Rhinolophus ferrumequinum: one gene and its partner. The protein of the gene in region 1 purifies or fractionates together with the protein of each later gene. This does not show direct contact. Links are inferred from orthologs where the notes say so. Each region holds a gene or a part of one and is shown on either strand. Other genes may lie near its edges.

The links.
Region 2: the proteins of SMARCA4 (region 1) and SS18 purify together in Homo sapiens (affinity purification with mass spectrometry; 8 studies listed by BioGRID and IntAct, counting the BioPlex papers as one, with this or other methods). This does not show direct contact. The link is inferred for Rhinolophus ferrumequinum from reciprocal best matches to the Homo sapiens genes SMARCA4 and SS18.

Annotation. Positions count from the first base shown.
Region 1 is NC_046301.1:39,449,247-39,459,395, forward strand, and holds the start of SMARCA4 (transcription activator BRG1), read right to left. Parts: upstream 5,890-10,149; 5' UTR 5,744-5,889; intron 5,723-5,743; exon of another isoform or gene 5,548-5,722; intron 1-5,547. UniProt on the Homo sapiens protein: ATPase involved in transcriptional activation and repression of select genes by chromatin remodeling (alteration of DNA-nucleosome topology).
Region 2 is NC_046302.1:22,093,944-22,103,765, reverse strand, and holds the start of SS18 (protein SSXT), read left to right. Parts: upstream 1-5,938; 5' UTR 5,939-6,024; coding exon 6,025-6,093; intron 6,094-8,708; coding exon 8,709-8,785; intron 8,786-9,822. UniProt on the Homo sapiens protein: Appears to function synergistically with RBM14 as a transcriptional coactivator. Isoform 1 and isoform 2 function in nuclear receptor coactivation. Isoform 1 and isoform 2 function in general transcriptional coactivation.

The DNA of each region.
Region 1 (10,149 bases):
ACCACTGGTTTTCTGCCGAGGCAGTTCACACTCTAATCCAGAAGATAGGGATAGTGTCTATACGGTTAAGAACACGAACACTATCCTATCTATCCACCAGATGGACGCTTTTCAAACTCTTTTGACCATGACCCAGAGTCAGGACATGGCCCAACACAAACACACCTCAGGTAACTGCAACAAGTTTTACAAATCCCTCCTCACCCTGGTCCCCTTAAGGCTGGTCAAACCTAGATGGATGTCATCCCTCACCGCTGGGTATGTTGTGGTGCCTGCTGTGCATACGCACCACTGAGCACGACACGTGGAGAGGGCAGGAGAGCAGGAGCTCAGAAACTGCGAGAGTGGGCAAGAGGGAGCTGGGAGGCATGGCCCCCACACCTGCCGAGTATCACTTGGGACAGGCACTCCCAGCCACCCAAAGACCAACTCTGGGCTGAGCAAGGTTCCAGGCAATGGGCACCTAGCAGAGAACAAAGTCCCTGCCTGGTGGGACTGAGAACTGAGGGACAGAGACAAGCACATACACAAATGTGACATGACATCATGTGGGGGTAGAAGTGCTATGAGAAAATGATCAAGCAGTTTAGTTGATGGAAGGTGCTCTTTCAATCATGGTGGCCAGGAATGGTCTCAGTGATGGGGACATATCTGAGCAGAGACCTGAAGTGAAAGGGGAGTCACATGGCTATCTATGGGTAGAGGGACCAGCGAGTGCAAAGGCCCTGGGGTGGGACCTGGGGGCAAGGGGTGTGTGGCAGATGAGGTCGGAGATGGGAAGGAGAGCAGATCGCAGGCCTTGAAGGCAGTGGTCAGGAAGGAGTCTTACTCCAGGTGCAATGGGAAACCACTGGAATATTCTGGGCAGGGCAGTGGCTCGATCTGATGATGGTTTTAGATTTCTCTGGACAGGCTAATGGAACAGATGTGGGGCATGTGGGGCGAGGGGGGTCAAGGACGAGCAAGGTGACCCTGCAGAAATGGCTTATTCCTGAGACTTGGGGCTGCTCAGCCCTGACGCCAAGCTTGGCAAAGCCCAGCCAGGCTAGATTTCAGCCCCAACTCACATCCCTTTCGTTCAATACTGACAAGTGGGGAGACTACGGGAGTTCAGGATTGTATGGTCAGAGAGGTTAAGTCATTTGCCCCAAATCACACAGGAAGTAGAATCCTGCCTCAAGTATGACTGCAAGGTCTGAGTAACTGATTCAGGCTGAGATCAGAAGGCAGAGAGCCTGGCAGGATGTGGGGTGCAGGCAAAGGGAAGCCCTCCTACAGGCAGGAGCACGTAGGGGGTAATCTGTGGGGATGGGCAAAGGCACTCAGCACACCTGCAGCCCAGGCTGCGATGAGTGGTCACCAGGGCCAGATGCAGCTCGCAGGGTGCAGTGAGTGTCACCATTAGGACCGTGATACTTTACTGGAACACTCCGGGCAAGTCAGGATGGCACACTTCAAACCCTGCCGCCTCAAGTCTCAGACTGTCACAGGTGAAGCAGCAACTGTCATGTGGCCACCTGCTTCCTGAGCCAGTGGGGCTGACCTGCTGGCTAAAGAGGAATTTAAAGCAGCCCAAGGAGACATTTTAAAGGCCACTGCTACTAAAACTGGGGTCCATCCTCCTTGATCACACTCACAGTTGGTGAACTTCACACTGAACAAAACTCACTGTTCTCAGTAAAATGCAAAAATGAAGACGTGCCCCTTCAACAAAGTAAATGAGTCCCGAAGTAAAGCTCTGGAAACAAATCTGGGTGCAAAGGCCAGGAAGGGGCCAGGGCAGGTTTATGTCCTGTTAACACATCCCGTTTTCTAAAGAAAGCCCCTGCCCTGAGATAACTGGAGGGAAACCCATGCATCCCCTCCCTTCCTCTGCCTTGTGAAATCTAATCCCCCCACAAACCCAGCTCCACCTGGCGCTTCCCTCCAGGCCCTTTCCCACATAGGAAGATGAGCAGAGGCCAAATTTCCCATGTCTGTCAATTCCATATCCTGAAAAATTAGTAACAGCAGCGTGCAACTAGAGAACTCCAACTAAGGTATCACTGAGCATATTAATGAGCCTACTACTTCTTCGGGGTGACAGCTATAAGGTTGACAGCAACAGCAGCTCCATTGGCCTCAGACCCAATTCTGACATGTTGCTCCTCTGACATTTCCCCCCATATTCCTGCAGCTGTTACTTCCTTTTCATAGGTTTTCCACACCCCTTTTATTCTAATATTTTTTTAAAAACTTTGATTCGCTCTGAAGTGTTCCAATCAATGTTACAAGTTATGAGAAAATACGTGAACAATGAACATTTGATATCTTTCAAAAGCCATGCCACCAAACACACTTCCCTCTTTCTAGTGCCTTATGGTGAAACTGCAAAGCATACAAACTTTTAAGTATTAAGGACAAAATGAAGGAGTTGATGCCTTCGTTAACACCTTGAAAACATATGGAACTACTGCAAAGGGACAAAAATATATTCTGTACCCACCAAGGTATTGTAGGAATCTTCATAAATGACAACAGCTACCAATATGTGTCAGACACCTTTCTAAGCACTCTACATTTGTCATTTTGCTGTTGAGTCTGTAGCAATCCCCCGAGTTGGGTACTATTACTGCCCCCCTTTGCAAATAAGGAGATGGATCTGAGCGAAGCAGAACAGGGCCCCTGTGTGCCTGCTGCCGATGGAATCGCCAGCCCTAGCAGTGCCTGGCTCGTGGCAGGCACTCGGTGCACGTCTGTTCACTGTATGAATGGGACATGAGTGCTTAGGCCACTCTTGCACAACTCCATTCACAGTGTGTTCTATCTGTGGTCGGTGTGAATGGGTCCCTCTTGGACCAAGTCTTGCACAACTCCAGGAGGCACCTTTCACATTGTGTTTGGTCTACCGTCAATGTGAATAGGTCCCCTGTGCCATGGCAGCCCTGATGACCGAGGCCAAAATCAGCTGGCAAATCTGAGGACTTACTATGTGCCAGTAAGCTACTGTCAACCCCATTTCTCTGAGGCACCAAGAAAAAAAGTAGCAAAGCCTGGAGTCAAAACCAGGACGGCTGACTGGAGAGCCCCAGGTGAAGAAATAGCCCTGGATGTCAGTTTCTTCATTAGCAGAATGTTTTCACCAGCCATTCACCCAAAATACGGAGTTCCTCCCACCCTCTCACATGTGCTCTAGGGTTACCTCCCAGGGTTTTGAGGGTCCACAAGGAGTGGCAAAGGTATGTAAATAAAAATGTGTTTATGTGGGATGCTTTGCACAGACAGAAAAAACTTTGGAGACCACGGCACTGATGTCACCCACCCCCACCGGACTCAAACCCTGGAAGATCAATGTCTCCAGAAGAGTGAGACACAAAATGATTTTAGAGGGCACGAGGACAAACATTTGTTATTTTCACAATTATGTATGCATTGATTGTAAGGCAAATTAGTAAAATACATATAACTAGCTCACCATATGCCGGGTGCTGCAGTGTGTTAAGCAGCTTCAAACCGTGTTTCCCCGAAAATAAGACCTAGCCGGACAGTCAGCGCTAATGCGCCTTGTGGAGCAAAAATTAATATAAGACCCGGTCTTATTTTACTATAAGACCGGGTCTAATATAATATATACCGGGTCTTATATTAATTGTTGCTCCACAAGGCGCATTAGCGCTGACTGTCCGGCTAGGTCTTATTTTCGGGGAAACACGGTATGTTACCTCATTCAATCCTCACAACCACCGTTTGAGGTGGCATCACTGTCATGCCTGTTTCACAAGTTGGGGGGGACCCACTGATAAGTACCTTGCTCAAGGTCAAGCTAAGATTTAGAATCCAGGAGGTCTGATTCCAGAACAGCACTCCTCACCACCATTCCACACTAACTACCAACCCACACCCTCCTTCTGGGGGAATGAGGTTTGGGAAACAATAGCCTAGAAAGTTAAAAACCAACAACAACTAAAATGTTTCCTGCTTACAACCCACCACTAATCAGTCCTGTACCAAGCATTTCACGCACATGTTCACTCAATCCTCCCAAGGGCCCTTCACTCATTGCACAAACGTTTTGCTAAGGGCCTACCATGTGCCAGGCCCAAAGAACACTGCGGGAGACAGCACCCTACTCTGATGGCCCTCAGAGAAGACTGGATGTGGAATTACAACCCGGAGTGAACGTCTACACAGGAAAGGACCAAGGCAACGTGCGAGTGTAGCAGAGGGAACAATGACTATTACAGGGCAGTCAAAAGCCAAGCCTGGACATCCTCCCTGACTCGAGTAGAGGCCCCCTCTTCCAGGCAGCCTCCTTGATCTCAGGCTCCAGCTACTCCCCTGGGTATCCACTGTGTTCCTTTCACAGTAAGAGTTGTGAGGATTAAATGAAAGGCCAAGGGGAGTAGTTCCCACATTTACCACCTGTTCTCCTACAAGACTGGAGAGGCTCCTCAGGGCATCCAACCACCAACCATCTGACACCCAGTTAGGGACTCAATGGATATTTGCTGAACAATGAAGAAGGAGATTGAACCAGACAGTAACAACAGGGCTTCTCACTTCCCAGGAACCATTTTTCAGGTTTTCACCAGCTCCATTTGTGACATTATTCCCATTTCACAAAGGAGGAATCTAAGAGGTACAGAGATTAAACTATTTGCCTAAAGTCACACAGCTAAGTGACTGACAGCGCCAGCAATGAAACCCTAATTCCGTCTGTCAATTCAAACTGAAAACTTGTTTCAAATTCCTGGGAAGTGGCTCTTACACTTATTTATTCCCTACTTTTCCAAGGATTCACTGGGAGAAAAAAATAAAAATCAAGACTGGTGTCTTCAAGACCGTCAAAACACTCTCTTAAAGGACCATGTTTTAAATAAAAGCCTTCATCTGGAAAATCAATTGGGAGGAAGGGAAAAGGATGCAAAACAAATACAATGCTTTCAACAGCAAACAGTGCCGGTCCTCCTCCACTTGCTGTCGACCACTCAGGGCAAACATTTTGAAGTCACTACTTGCAAGGGATGGGCCAAGTCATTTACCTTTCCTTGAAAACCTAGAATAAGTGATTTTTAAAATAAAATCTTAGGTCGGCTAACCCAGGGGTGCTGCCAGGAGGCACTGGACACATCTGGGTTTTTTCTTACGGAGCCTCGATCACAGCCTCCCTAAAGGGCAATATTCGGTTCGGACCTTTTACAACATAGCCAGAAAATCCCCGAAGCCCGGCTATTGTTGCAGCCGCCGCAGAGACCCCTGGCCCGCCAAGGGGGCAGCAAGCTTTGTCCCGCGACCCTGGCGAGAGCGCGCGCGGGGGTCGCGCGGCCTCCACGCGGCCCGGGCCCCCACCCCACCCGCCCGCGCGGATGCTACAGCCGCCGCGGCCTCGCTACACTGTGGCTTTCCCCGCGCGCGCGGTGCCGGACGGGCTTCTTGACCCTCGGGCGCCGCCGTACCCCAGCCCTGCTCTGGGCGCCAGTGGCCCCCTCCCCCCTCGGCCCCCCGGCTCCATTCAAACCACCCTCCCAAGCCCCGCGCGGCGCTCCCCCCGCGGCCCGCGTTCCTTACCGGGAGCCGCCGGCACCGCCGCCTTCCCGGCACCGCCCCCGACCCTCCGAGCGGGGCCGGAGGCAGAGTAAGCTTCTCGCCTCTCCTCACGAAACAAAGAAGCCGCCGCCGCCACCGAGCGAGAGTAAGCCTCGTGCGCGCGCCCGCCTCGGCCGCCCCCCCACGCCTCCCGCGTCCCCGCTGCGCGCGCACTCACCGGCTTCCTCCCCCCCACGGACGGCCTCTCTCGCTTCCGCCGCCCGCCCGGCCTCGTGCGCGCGCCCGCCCGCCCTTCCGCTTCCAGCGCGCGTGCGCGTGGGACGAGGGCTAGGGGAGGTGGGCCGGACCAGAGAGAGCGTACGCGCCCGACGCACCTCCCACCGATTTCCAGGAAGGTCCTGCGCTTGCGCACAGGCGTCTTCTTCTTCCGCACGTCGCGCGTCCCGACGCCGCCGAGCGTGCGCAGAGCGGGCGCCACTGCGGCGGTGGTGGCGGCGGCGACGGCACGTTGGGGGATGGGACGGGGAGGCGGTGGCGTCTGCAGGGAAGGGATGGCCGAGTGGTCGTGATAGTCGGAATGAGGACCTGAGGCCCTGTGCGTGAAGCTGGACTGAGGTTGAGCAAAGTCGGCCAAGCGCGGGCCTGAGAATCGCTTTCATCCCTGGTAGGGGGATGGCGGGGCCTGTTGCGAAGCCAGGTGGGCCCCCACCATACCTGTCTTTTCTGCCTACCTAGTTCTATTAATTAGTTTAGCAAATATTTATTAACCTGCTCCTGTGTCCCAGGCGCAAGTGCAGCGGCACAGAACAGACAAAAATCTCAGACCGCTGTGGTGCTCACGGTCTAGTAAGGGAGGCAAGTGAGAGACAAGAGAAATAAGTAAAATACGTTGTGTTGAGACAGAGACATCTTGGGTCGTGAACATTTTAAATGGGACAGCCAGGGAAGGGCCCGATGCGAAGAAGACATTTGAGTCGACATCAAAGCAGTGAGAGAGCCTTGTTCCTAGTGTGAAGGCCCAGAACTCTAGGCGGCCTCTTCTGTGTTCTGAAAGTATCTCCAGTGCCACCTCATTTAGTCCCCCAACTGGACAAACGCTCCCCAAGGTCAGGTTCCACAGCCCGTGACTCTCCCCACCTTGCCTCTTTATCCTGCTCTTCATTTTTTAGGTGTCAGCTGATTCACCAACTCAAGCCTCGCCTCCTTTTTGACCACTGACTCCTTTTCCCTTCACATTTCTTGGGTACCCTCTTTTCTGCTGTCTGTCTCCCTTCCCTCAATTTAAATGACAAAGAAGTTAATTTTAGTCATTAGTGAATACCCAGCATCGCTAGCATGCTTTGTAGCGTAGAGTAGAAGAGGAGATCGCACACTGGAATCAGAAAGACCTGGATTTAAAACCTGACTCTATGTTAGTAGCTGGTGGGTGCCAGGCAAGTTTATTGGACTCATGTACACTACCCTTTCTTCACCTGTAAAATGGAAATAATAATGGCGCCCATCTCCACAGGCTGGTTATGAGGAGTCCATATGCAGGTCACCTTGGAGTTCCCTAAACCTTACCTCGTAATGTTGAGTAATACACAGTAAATGGGCAAGTGGGGTCTCCACATCGATCTTTAAGTAATATTTTTAAGCACCCTCAACATGCTAAGCACTGAGCTGATCGGGCCTGCAGTGATCACACTGGAAAGGCAGGGCTCCTGCCCATGGAGCGGACAGTCAATGAGTTCAGTTGACAGTCTCCCATACTGATCACACTAATACGTGATAGAAAACTCGAAATGCAACGGAAGAAAAGCCTAGGGTGTGATGAGGTCATGACATGGGATCTTCCTGGGATGGAGAAGTCAGGTAGACTTCTCTGAGGGAGAGGTACGTATGTCAAAATCCAAAGGATGAGCAAGAGCAAAGAGGAGGATGACACTAGAGAGGAAACAGGATGTGCCAAAGCCCTGAGGAGGAAAAGAGTGTGGGAACAGAAAAAGGCCCAAGGGGGCTTGAGGGGGAGGTGAGTAGCAGCCATACCAGATAGGGCCTTGTGGGCTTTGGTGAGCATCTTCAGCTTTTTCTGGAGCACAGTGGGAAGCAGTTGAAGGGCTTTAATCAGGAGAACCCCATGGCTGTTCTGGCTGCTGGGTGGAGACTTGGCCAGCAGGTAAGGAGAGGAAGTGGGGAGTCCCTTTAGGCCATAGCAGTGGCCCAGAGTAGAGAAAGTGGTGGCTTGCACTAGTGTGAAGGTGGAAGAGGTACAGAGAGTTGGAGGAAGAATAGATAGAAATTGGAAGAGTGGAAGGAGGAAGAGATAAAGGAGGGTCAAGAGTGAATTCCCAGCTTTCTCTGCAACTGGGATGATGGGGACATGGAAACTCTGGCAAGAAAGGGTCAGGAGTCCTGTTTGAAGGATACGATATCTGTTGGGAACAATCCTGTATACCAGTGGTTCATGACTGTACATTGGAATCCGGGTTAAGCAAAATGGATGTCTTGTGTGTGTGTGTGTGTGTGTGTGTGTGTGTGTGTGTGTGTACAACATATATATATGTGTGTGTGTGTGTGTGTGTGTGTGTGATTTTATTGGAGAAGGGAAACAGGACTTTATTGGGGAACAGTGTGTATTTCCAGGACTTTTTATTGGGGAACAGTAGTGTTTTTCCCAGGACTCATCAGCTCCATCCAAGTCAAGTTGTCCTTTCAGTCTTAGTTGTGGAGGGCACAGCTCATCTCCAGGTCCAGTTGCCATTGTTAGTTGCAGGGGGCGCAGCCCACCATCCCTTGTGGATGTTGAACCAGCAACCACAGAGCCCGCGCTCCAACCAACTGAGCCATCTGGGAGCTTGGGGGCAGCTCAGCTCAAGGTGCCGTGTTCAATCTTAGTTGCAGGGGGCGCAGCCCACGATCCCTTGGAGGGAGTCGAGGAGGAGTCGAACCGACAACCTTGTGGTTGAGAGCCCACGCACCAACCAGCTGAGCCATCTGGCCACCCGGGAGCTGAGCAGCAGCTCATTTACTTCATTCTAGTTGGAAGCGCAGCTCACTGGCTCATGTGTGAATTGAATCGGCAGCCCCGTTGCCCAGAGCTCGTGATCTAACCAACTGAGCCACCCGTCTGCCCCATACTGGCCTTTTAATAATGACCTGTCCCAGGATTCAGACCTTCGTCCTCTCTCTACATTCACCCCTTTGGCTTCCAGTCTTGTGACATGAAAAAACTATCTACTTCCTTGGTAGTATCTACCCAAAGGAATTGAAAACATGTACTCATGTACTCAGATACTCGTAAACAAATGTTTATTGCTACTACACTATTCACAATAGCTGAGATGGAAACAGGAAACAATTTAAATGTTCCTCAACAAATAAATGGATAAACAAGTTGTGTTATATATTCAATGGAATATTTAGCCATAAAAAGTAATGTAGTCCTAAAACATACTACAATGTGGATGAACCTTAAAACATGCTAAGCGAAAGAAGTCAGACACAAAGGGCCACACAGTGTATGAATCTATTTCAAATGTTTAGAATAGGCAAATCTATGGAGACAGCAGATTGCCAGGGGCGGAGTGTAGTAGAGGGCGTAACTGCTTAGTGGATAAAGGGTTTTATTTTGGGACAATGAAAATATTTTGGAACTAGATAGAGGTGGTGCTTACACAATATTGTGAATGTACTAAATGCTACAAAATCGTTCAGTTTAAAATATTCAGTTTTGTTACATGAATCTTTTAGAAAAGTGTCTACATGCTAATGATTTCCAAATGTTTATTTCCTGCCTCGACCTCACCCTCGAGCTCCAGAAAATGACCTCTCAGACACCACCACTTGAGTATTATATAGGAGCTAAAATTTCAGTTCCATCATGTCCCTCTTTTGCTCAAAATCCCCCAATGGCTCCCATCTTTCCAAGAATAAAAGGCAAAGACCATCAAGAGAAAGAGAAGGCAAACCACAGGCTGGGAGAGAGCGAATGAGAAGACACGTGAAAAAGAACTGTTACCAAATACACAAAGAACTCTTAAAACTCCACAATAAGAAAATGAACCCAATTTAAAGATGGACAAACCTGAACAGACACCTCACCAAAGATGATACAAAGATGGCAAATAAGCATATGAAGAGGTGTTGAACATCCTGTGTCATTAGGGAATTGCAAATTAAAGCAACAGTGAGATACCACTGCACACCTATCAGAATGGGAGAAATCCAAGACTCTTGAAACACCAAATGCTGGAGAGGATGTGGAGGAACTCTTAGTCGTTCCTCGTGGGAGTGCAAAATGGTTCAGCCACTTTGGAAGATAGCTTGGCAGTTTCTTACAAAACTAAACATACTCTTACCATGTGACCCAGCAATCATGCACCTTGGTGCTTCCCCAAAGGAGCTGAAAACAGATGTCCACACCAAAACCTGCAAATGGATGTTTATAGCAGCTTCAATTACAATTGCCCAAACTTGGAAATGATCAAGAAATCCTTCAGAAGGTGAATGGATAAACTGTGGTACATCCAGACAATGGAATATTATTCAGCACTAAAAAAGAAACGAGCTATCAAGTCATAAAAACTTGGAGGAACCTTAAATACATATTACTAAGTGAAAGAAAGCAATCTGGGCAGGTTT
Region 2 (9,822 bases), on another chromosome or scaffold:
TGCTCCTTTGTAGTCAGCATTCCCCATCCCACGTCAACCATTGACCTACTTTCTGTTACTATAAATTCATTTTTATCTAGATTTTTATCTAGATTTTTTTATAAATGTAATCAACAGTATGTACTCTTTTGTGTCTGACTCCTTTTACGCAACCTACTGTTTTTGAGGTTCATCCATTTGTTTCATAATTAATAGTTTGGTCCTTTTCATTCCTGAGCAGTATTCTATTGTATGAACGTATCATAATTTATTCATTCATCTGTGTTGAATACTTGGGTTGTTTCCAACTATACAATATTTTTATTAAAGGTGGTATGAATGCTCAAGTCTTTGTGTGGGCAATACATTTTCATTTCTTTGAGGTAAAGGGTAAATACCCAAAAGTGCAATTGCTGGGTCATATGATAAGTATATGTTTAACTTTATAATAATCACTAGTTGTTTTCCAGAATGGTTGTGTCATTTTGCACCCCCACTAGCAATGTATGAATGTTCCAGTTGGTCCACATACTCTCCAAAACTTGATGATGTCACTCTTTTTAATTTTAGCCATTTTAGTGGGTGTGTAGTGGTTTCTTGAAGTGGCTTTAATTTGCATTTCTATGATGACTAATGACAGAGAGCAACTTTTCATGTATTTATTGGCCACTGATATATAACCATTGTGAAGTTTCTTTAAATGTTTTGTCCATTTTTGTTAATAGGGTTGTTTATCTTATTGTAAGTGTTCTTTATATTAATGTATTCTGGATATGAGTTGTTTGTTTTCATGTTTCATAAGTTCATATGTTTTCTCCTAGACTATGTCTTCACTTTTCATTTTTTTATAATACCTTTGAAGAGCAGAGTTTTTAATTTTAATGAAATCCAATTTATAAATTTTTCTTTTATGCTTCTTGCTTTTGTGTCATATGTAAGAAACATTTGCTTAACTCAAGGTCATAAAGATTTTCTGTTTTTTTGCAGAAGTTTTACTTTTTACATTTAGGTATATCTATTTTAAATTAACTTTGGTGTATATGTGAGGAAAAAGTCAAAGTTCATTTTTAAAAACATGGATATCTATCTGTTCAAAACAGTCCTTTCTCCATTGAAGTATCTTGGCATCTGTGTTATTATAGTTTCCAATGGCTGCCGTAATACATTACCACAATCTAGGTGGCTTAAAATAAATTTATTTTCTTACAATTCTGGAGGCCACAAGGCTGAAATCATGGTATCTACAGGACTGCACTATAATATAATGCTATTATTTTTCTTTTAAGAAACTGTATAATAAATGTGATTGTTAGGTTAGTTTACTATATATTAGAACAGTAGTTTGAATATTGAATCACTTATCAGTATTTTAGTGCACATTGCCTAATTCAGCCATAAATGTTAGATGGGAAAAAACAATCTTATTAGTTTCCTATTTCTGCTCTAACAAGTTATCACAAATTTTACAGCTTAAAGAAACACATATTATCTTACAGTTCTAGAGGTAGGATGTCCAAAATGGGCCTCACTGTGTTATAATTAAGATTTTAGCAGGTTGGTGTTCCCTCTGGAGGCTCTAGGGGAGAATCTACTTCCTTGTCTTTTCCAGCTTCTAGAAGCCACCCACATTCCTTGTCTCATGACCCCCTTCCATCTTCAAAGCCAGCAATAGCCAGTCAAGTCTTTCTCAAGATACCATAATTCTGATTATGACCCTTCAACTCACTGTTCCTCATTTATGGATATTTGTGATGACTTTGAGCTCACTCAGATGATCCTGGTTAATCCCCATATTTTAAAGTCAGCCAACTAACAGCCTTAATTCTATTTAGAACCTGAATTCCACTTTACCACGTAACCTCTCATATTCACAGATTCTGCAGATTAGGAGGTGGCCATCTTTGTCAGGATGAAATTATTCTGCCTACTGCACCCATTCATAGGAAAATTAGTTAACAATTCATAGGGAAATTAGTATATCATAATCCTCTCTGTAAATTGTGAAGCAGTTCAAGAACAGTTAGTATATTCTTTTGCTAAAGGTAGAGTAGCTACACATCATGCATAAGGTCAGATAACATGCTAAATTGGAAAAAGATCACTTAATCTCTAAATTATAGCCAGAAAATTTCCCAAGGGTAGACTGCACTAGACTGCACTATCAAGAACTTTTGAACATTTCTACTCTTAAAGTATATATTTTTCTCCTTATTAGATTAAGAACAGATCTTATCCTTGTTGAGCAATTTATAATGTGCCACGTATTTTTTTACATATTGTACATGTTAAAATTTGGGACAATCTTTAAGACTCTAATGTAAGATAATCACTTAGCACAGTGGCTGTATATAATAAATGCTAAATAAACAGTAATTAAACACCTTATTATTTCTAATAGCCTTAGGGCAGTTGTTTTTCTGTAAGGCAAATGAAATATAGAAATGGCCTGTCCAGTAGCATTGCATTGGTGGAAGAACTGGGAACTCCAAACCTGTGCATTTCTCAGTGAATTAAGGTTGCATAGAGCTTCACATAGAAACTATTTTTTTTAAAGCAATACCATCCTATAACATTAAACACCAAAATATAATTGATTCAGCTCCTCCTTAATTCAGTCTAAGTTTGATACTGTAAAAAGAGATGAAAACGCACTAAATAGGGTTTGTTATGGTCTACTTTGAATTAAATCTTCTGGAGTATTGAAAAAGTTTTATGGAGAATTGGGAAAGGTGATTTGTTCTTGCCTGGAATAATGAATATATATATTATATAGTCGCCTTATAATTTTGAAATCTGTTAAAGCGCCAACTCAAAATGACTCATCAAATGCCATGGAAAGGGTGAGCAGAAATAGTTTGAATTACCTGAGGAGTTTTGCTCTGAGCCCATTTATGAACAGACAGGCTTGGTCAATGCCTTTCCAAATGTATTCTAAGAATTTATGGCAGCACAGGGGCTTAAAATATCAGCAAATTTGATAGTCCGTGTGCTCTGTTAATTATAAAACAATATTACAGAAATGTTTGTATGAAAGTAATCTCAATTATCTGCACATGCATAATACGTTTTTTGTGGATTAAGATAATTTTTAATGCCATGATTATGTAGTTTCACAAAATATTGAGCGTATTCCTGGAGCACTTCATCAGTTCCATGAAAGGCATTTAAGGAATACAAACAAGTTCATGTAAAACAAATTAAAAATTGAAACATTGAAAATCAAACATGGACAATTTTCCTACTACCTTTTTTGAGTTAAATGTGTCTATATTTATTGGTATGAATAATCAAGATTTGTTCATGCAGATCTTTTATTTAGTCTGAGCCACTGTATATGTTCTTCTATTAGGATTATTCTTAAAAACCGTCACCTCTTCCTTGTGTGACTTCAATTCCTCTGTCAGATGTCTCAATCCAGAACAGCCTAAATAATGGGACTGATGTTTCTGGATGGGGCGATGGTTGCCTGGGTAAGCTCTTTTTTAAGTTCCCGCAGTCATTTCTCAGACTTGGGCCAACCTCCCATCTTTATTCTCCATTTTCTTAACTAAATGCTGGGGTCTCTTTATTTTCCTTTTCGTCCCAACTCTGCTACCACTAAATCTGTACCTTGGGATTCCTTTCTCTTCAAAACTAATGAAGTGAGGCAGGATTTACTAAGTGCCCTTAATTATCTTTTCCTTAACTCAAGGCTCTTACAGTTACAAAGATCTAAGAAAGTTCCTCGAGGCTACAATCTACCCTCTCATTCTCTGAATTTTCTACTTTTCCACATTAAACTGTGTTTACGAAGGAAGCATGAGAGAAAGGTAGTGTCCTATTAAAGTGTCTTCTCTAAGGGAGATGATTTGTATTTCTGGCTGGACCTTTATTCCAATGCTTCCCAACCGATTTCATGTGACAGATACATAGAAAACACATGGTATCACAGAAAAGACTGGTTATGCATGCCTCAAGTCTAGCCTGTCAGTGCCCTAGGTCCTACCCAGCTACTGTGAAGGAATAAGCGCCTTGGGCTGACCTATTACCCATTTTTAGTTGATATCCTTTCCTGTTGTTGGGGAGCTGTAATGTAAACAAAGAAAGTATCTCCTGGGTACCTCCTTGGAATAGAAGTCCCCTTAGCACTTTTTTTTTTTTAACCGAGCTATAGAAATTCAGACTATTCCTACTGGTTCATGTTGCTCTTTAAGATTTCATTGCTATCTGCCAAGCAGATACAACTGGAGCAGTAGGACAATTTGTCATTTTTCCCACTGAAATATTGTTCTTAACTACTTAGGTACTTTTATGTAAATATCAAGATGATGATAAAAGCCAGGTGTTGAACATACAGTGTTTGTGGTGGACGAGACTTAGTTTCTGAGTTCATGAGAAATTTTTCCAACATGAGATTACATTAAATTCAAATATACCAGAGTTGTTTCCCCCCCCCCCCCAGGGCTTAGAGTAGTGAAAGGCAATTAAATTCTTAAGAATAATTACCATTAGTAGAAGTATAAATTCTCTTCCCTTTATTCATAGGATGGCTCGAATTTTTTTCACGTTAGGTCTTTGTTTAAATATAGCAGAAGACTTCCCATCCTAACTCACATTGAGTGTCCCTGTCTGTTCTCAGTTCCTTGTTTGCTAGTCTTTCTTAGAACTTTACATATAGCATATTTGTTTATTTGGTTTTAGTCTGTCAGCCCTACCAGAATATAAGCTCCTTGAGAGCAGCTCCCATATTGAACTTGTCCACAGTTGTATCCTAGGTGCCTAGGATAAAGCCCATAGGTAGAACGCACCCTAATGTGCTGAATGAAACTTATGACCTTTTTGTGGAGAGCATTTATTTGAAACAAAAAACTTTATAAATTTTTTCTTTATTTTTTCAGTTTATATATAAACTGAGGGATTGATTTTGAGCCTCGTTAATTTGGGGTGACATTTTATATAAACTTTTCCTTTGTATTAGGTGGAAATGTAAATTTACAGAATAATTTAAAAAACCTCACACCAACACATAACCCACATTTGCCCATCGTCCTTACATAATTGGAGAGCTTTGTTGTTTTTCTTCCTAACAGAGTTGAAGCCTGGCAGCTTGGACCTAATTTACAAGGCACTAAGTATGTAATTGGAAAAGAGTGAGGGTTCCCTATTTCAAAACTTAATTCGAAAAATCCAAGTCAGACGAACTCGACCCGACGTTTCTAAGGGTTTGTCCCAAGCAGCGAACTCCTCCCCTGGTACGCTAGCCAAGTTGGCCGACTGCCTCTGAGTACTGGACACAGCCCTGTTTCCCGATTTTGAATCAGGCTCGCTTCCAATTGTTAGTGACGACGTGTGCGCGTGCAAGACTGTGGACTCAGAGGTGCGCATTTGGGGCGTAGCCGAGCCGTTTAAACTAGCGAATCCGCGTTCACCTAGTCCTCCACCTCTACCTCATGTCAGCAGATGCTCCAGCGGTTTGCACGGATTCCCGTGTCCTGACCTTCTTCCTCCCCTATCCGGGGTGCCTAGACAACTCGAGGAGGGGTGAGGATAAAGTTGGAAAAATTGAACTAGATCAACAACAGCGCCGAAACGCAGTTTGAGGGACATTTCAGCGCGCCGAGGAGGGAGGCAACTTGCACCCGCGTGAAAGGGGCGGGCCAGTTCGGGCCACTCGCATTTCCTGTGACAGGCGCTGCCCCAGCCTCTCACTCTCCCGTGGCGGCGGGACCATTTCCTGAATCGCAGAAGCGGAGGGAGGGCTGGGGCGCGGTCCTACCATTAGCGCAAAGAGACTGGGGGCCATGAAAGGAAAGGTAGAAGGACGAGAGGTCGATCAAAAACTGAGAAGTTCCATGGGGGCTTAGATTCTCAAATAACATTCGAAAGAGGACGTGTGTGGGCCAGAGTTCCTCCTTTAGGCCAGGCAGGCCTCCTGTTTGTTCGACATTGGAGCATCCCCCCACCCCGCATTCCCGAAGTGGTTCAGCCCGAGAGGCCGGCGTCTTTCCCCCAGTTTGCTGTTCACCGGTGCGCTCGGGACTTGCCGATAGTGGTGACGGCGGCAACATGTCTGTGGCGTTCGCAGCCCCGAGGCAGCGAGGCAAGGGGGAGATCACTCCCGCCGCAATTCAGAAGGTGAAACCTCGCGGGGACGGGGATGCCAGGCCCATCCCGCCTTTGGGAGAGACCCCCGGGGGCCGGGCCGACAGTCGGTCGGGCCGGGGGCGGAGGCGGGCCTGCTGGGAGGCGGCGGTGTGGCAACCCGAGCCACGGGCTGTGCCTGAGTGGGTGGCGGAAGACGGCGAACTGGTTCTCTCACCGAGTCCTTGGCACGTTGGGCCTCTTTCCTACAGGCACAAAAGCCCAAGTAACCGCCGCCGGATTTCTCTAGGGATGGGGCGGCGTTCGGGCTGCGGGGCGCGTGCGCCCGGCGGCGCTGATCGCGCGGGGCAAGGGCTGTTACAGCCGGCGCCCCCCGCGGCCCCGCGCGTCGCTCCGGAGTTACTTTAGCGTCGCCCCGCCCAGCGCTCCGTGGCTGCTTAGTGTAGACCCGATCTCGGGTCGCGGGAGGCCGAGGCGAAGTCGCCGCCCTCCGCGGTGCTGCAAACTCCAGCCGAGTTGCGGAACTCCGAGAACTTGGGGGACGCTACAGGGAGCCTTCATAGAATCAGAAGGGTAGGCGAGGGAGAGCCCTCTGGACTTCAGGGTTAACCTCGGAGTCCCCTTCTCCATTCCGGATTCACCCCACATCCGTTTGCGTCTCCAGCAAATTTCATTGAGCGCCATGTCTAGGCTCTGAGGCTACAGTGGTGAGCCATGGACCCTGCCTTCATGGAGTTTACAGTCTAGTGGTAGAGACAATGATAATTATAACCAATTACGGAAGTCGTGATAAATACACTGGGAGCCGCCTCCCTTTTAGAGAGTAGTACTGTCTCTTGTTGCCGTGTTACTGCCAATTAGGGACACAAAGGTTCTTTATTGTCTTCTACTCTTGTTGCCTTATGAGCAAAGCAGCATTCTAAAATTTACTCAGCCAGACTTTGAAAAGTTACTTGCTAAACTTCGTAGTTTACCTTAAATATTTCGATTTTGTTTTATGCACTGGAGTAGGGATGAAAATTGAAGAAAGGTGAGTTTTTAGTACTAAGGGCAACATCGTATGTATTACTACTACATCCTATGCCCAATAGATTTGTTCATCAGTTTCTGTTTACTGTCAGGTTCTTTGTAGTGTGCCATTTGACGTTGATTTGCCTAACTGACTTTATTTTATGAGCAAACCGGCTTGGCAGTGCTTGGGTGCTGTATTTTCATATAGTGCATTGGGCTAAGTCTGCAGTGTGGCGAACAGCTCCAAGAACACACTCAAAAACTTTTTTTTTTTGGGGGGGGAGGGATTCACTTTTTATTTTTGGACTGTAGGAAATTCCTGAGTTTTTCTTTTTTTCTACAGTTTTTCTTAAGGTATTTCTCATGGGTGATTAATTCAGGAGATGTTGATCAATTAGTTGTCATCTTCAGATGAGAAGGGAAAGTGGATTCCAAATCAAGTGCCTCGTTTTACAGTGTGAGGGATTAATTTTAGATATGAGACATTCTAACGATACAGTTTGTTAGGCTGAGAGATCTACTGAGAAGATACGTTGTGAAATGGTTTGATTGTACTAATGCATTATAAGGACAATTTTTTTTGGCATCTAGTGAGTCTATTTAAGAAATTAACAGTTAATATTTTTTTCCAGCAAGTTAAGATTATGATTCATATGCAGAAAAAAGACACAGTTACTGTTAAATGGATCTTCGTTTTTAATTGAGTTATATTAACTAAATTATTGAGATAGAGTGATTATGGTATTCTACTTCATTCGTTGTTCCTCCTGTACTTGCCCGGAGGGATGGGGCAAGTACAGGGGGAACAGCTACTCCTGTCCCTTGATCTTTCAGATAAATCTGAAATTTTAAGTGGTTTGCATGGGATAGCAAAGGTGGCACTAAAGCTAACTGGCCTTTTAATTGCTATTAATACATGAGTATTCTTTTCTCAATGTCACTTTGCTTAGATGAATTATTTAATCCTTAAAACCAATACTGCTTTAAATTGTAATAACATGATAGAGTGATAAATAGGTATGCTTTTGTTTTTACACTTTTGGGACAACTGAATTATAAGGTAAGTCTGCAATAAATTTATTATACATAAGTAGAAATTATTGTATTTGATTATTTCATGTTTGGAGAATCACAAAACCATACTGTGTAAAACTTGGAAACTGGCCAGCTATCTCCTCAAGCTTCCTGGGCTGAAGTTTTTATGTATTTACTTCATTCTGGCAAGCTTCCTGGGCTGAAGTTTTTATGTATTTACTTCATTCTGGATAAGGACAATTTTCTTTACTACTAAAAAGCATTAGAATGATAGAAAGCTAACTTGGACTCAACAGTTAGTCTTAACAGACTAAAGCTTCTATTACATATATAGCAGGGGTAATTAAGTGTTTGAATACAAAAGAAACTTCAAATTTTTCCTTCAGGGCTGCAGGTAATAACTAAAAGGGAGCATAATTGGAATAGAGTTATCTAAAAATTGTTGATTAAACATGACATTCCAGAGGTGTGAAATAAGATTTAAAAGATCTGAGTGGATTCAGTTTCTGTATAGATAAATATTTCTAGAAATTTGAAGGTCTTTTAAAAATTTTACTTGATAACACTAGATTTACAATAAACTTTTTCCAATTTTATTTCAGATGTTGGATGAAAATAACCATCTTATTCAATGTATAATGGACTATCAGAATAAAGGAAAGACCTCAGAGTGTTCTCAGTAAGATTGATATGAAAATTTTCTTTTAATTTTCATTTTTTGTGTTGAAATTTAAATTTCATTTTGTGTTAACTTTTTAATAGCAGCTTTATTGAGATATAATTCACATACCATACAATTTACCCATTTTAAAGTGTATAATTCAAGTGTTTTAGAATATTGATAAGTTGTACTACCATCATTTCAATCAATTTTAGAACATTTTCGTTATCCCGTCAAGAAACTATATACACATCAGCAGTGACTCCCCATTTCTACCACCTAATTCCTCACCCCTTGACAATCACCAATTTTTCTGTCTGTGTAGATTTGCCTGTTGTGGACATTTCATATAAATAGATTCATACAATATGTGGTCTTTTTTGACTGCTTTGTCTTAGCATATTTTCAAGATTCATCCATGCTGAAACATGTATTAGGACTTTCTTTTTATTGCTGAATCTTCCATTGTATAGCTATGCTACATTTTATTTATTCATCAGTGATGGACATTTGGGTTTGTTTTCATTGGCTATTATGAATAATGCTACTATGAACATTAGTGTACAATTTTTTGTGTGACCTTTCTTGATTTTTACAAAAGAAAATTTTCTTTGGGATGGAGTGGGTATTAATTGTTTTTTATACTTCTTGCATTATAAAATAATGACTTCAAATTTGTGTATAATCTGATTTGTGGAAAAGTTAGATCTTCACATAGATAGGATGTTTAGTTATATCTATGTATGTGATTGAGAAAGCAAAACTCCTATCTAATAAATAGAGAATTGGTCATCATTCATAAGAACTAAACTTGTTAATTTGAAGTAATATGTCTGAAGAAAACAGCATCCCTTAATAGAATCTGATGGAGTGGGACAAGTAGAACATTTTACCAAAAGTCTCTAAAACAGCACCATCCAGTAGAAATACGAGGGGGGCCAAAAACATGTATACACATGATTTGTATTCATCTTTTGTTATCGATATATATTATTACAATCTTAATACAGTTTTTTCCTTTCTTAAAACGTGTATACATTTTTTTGGCACCCTCT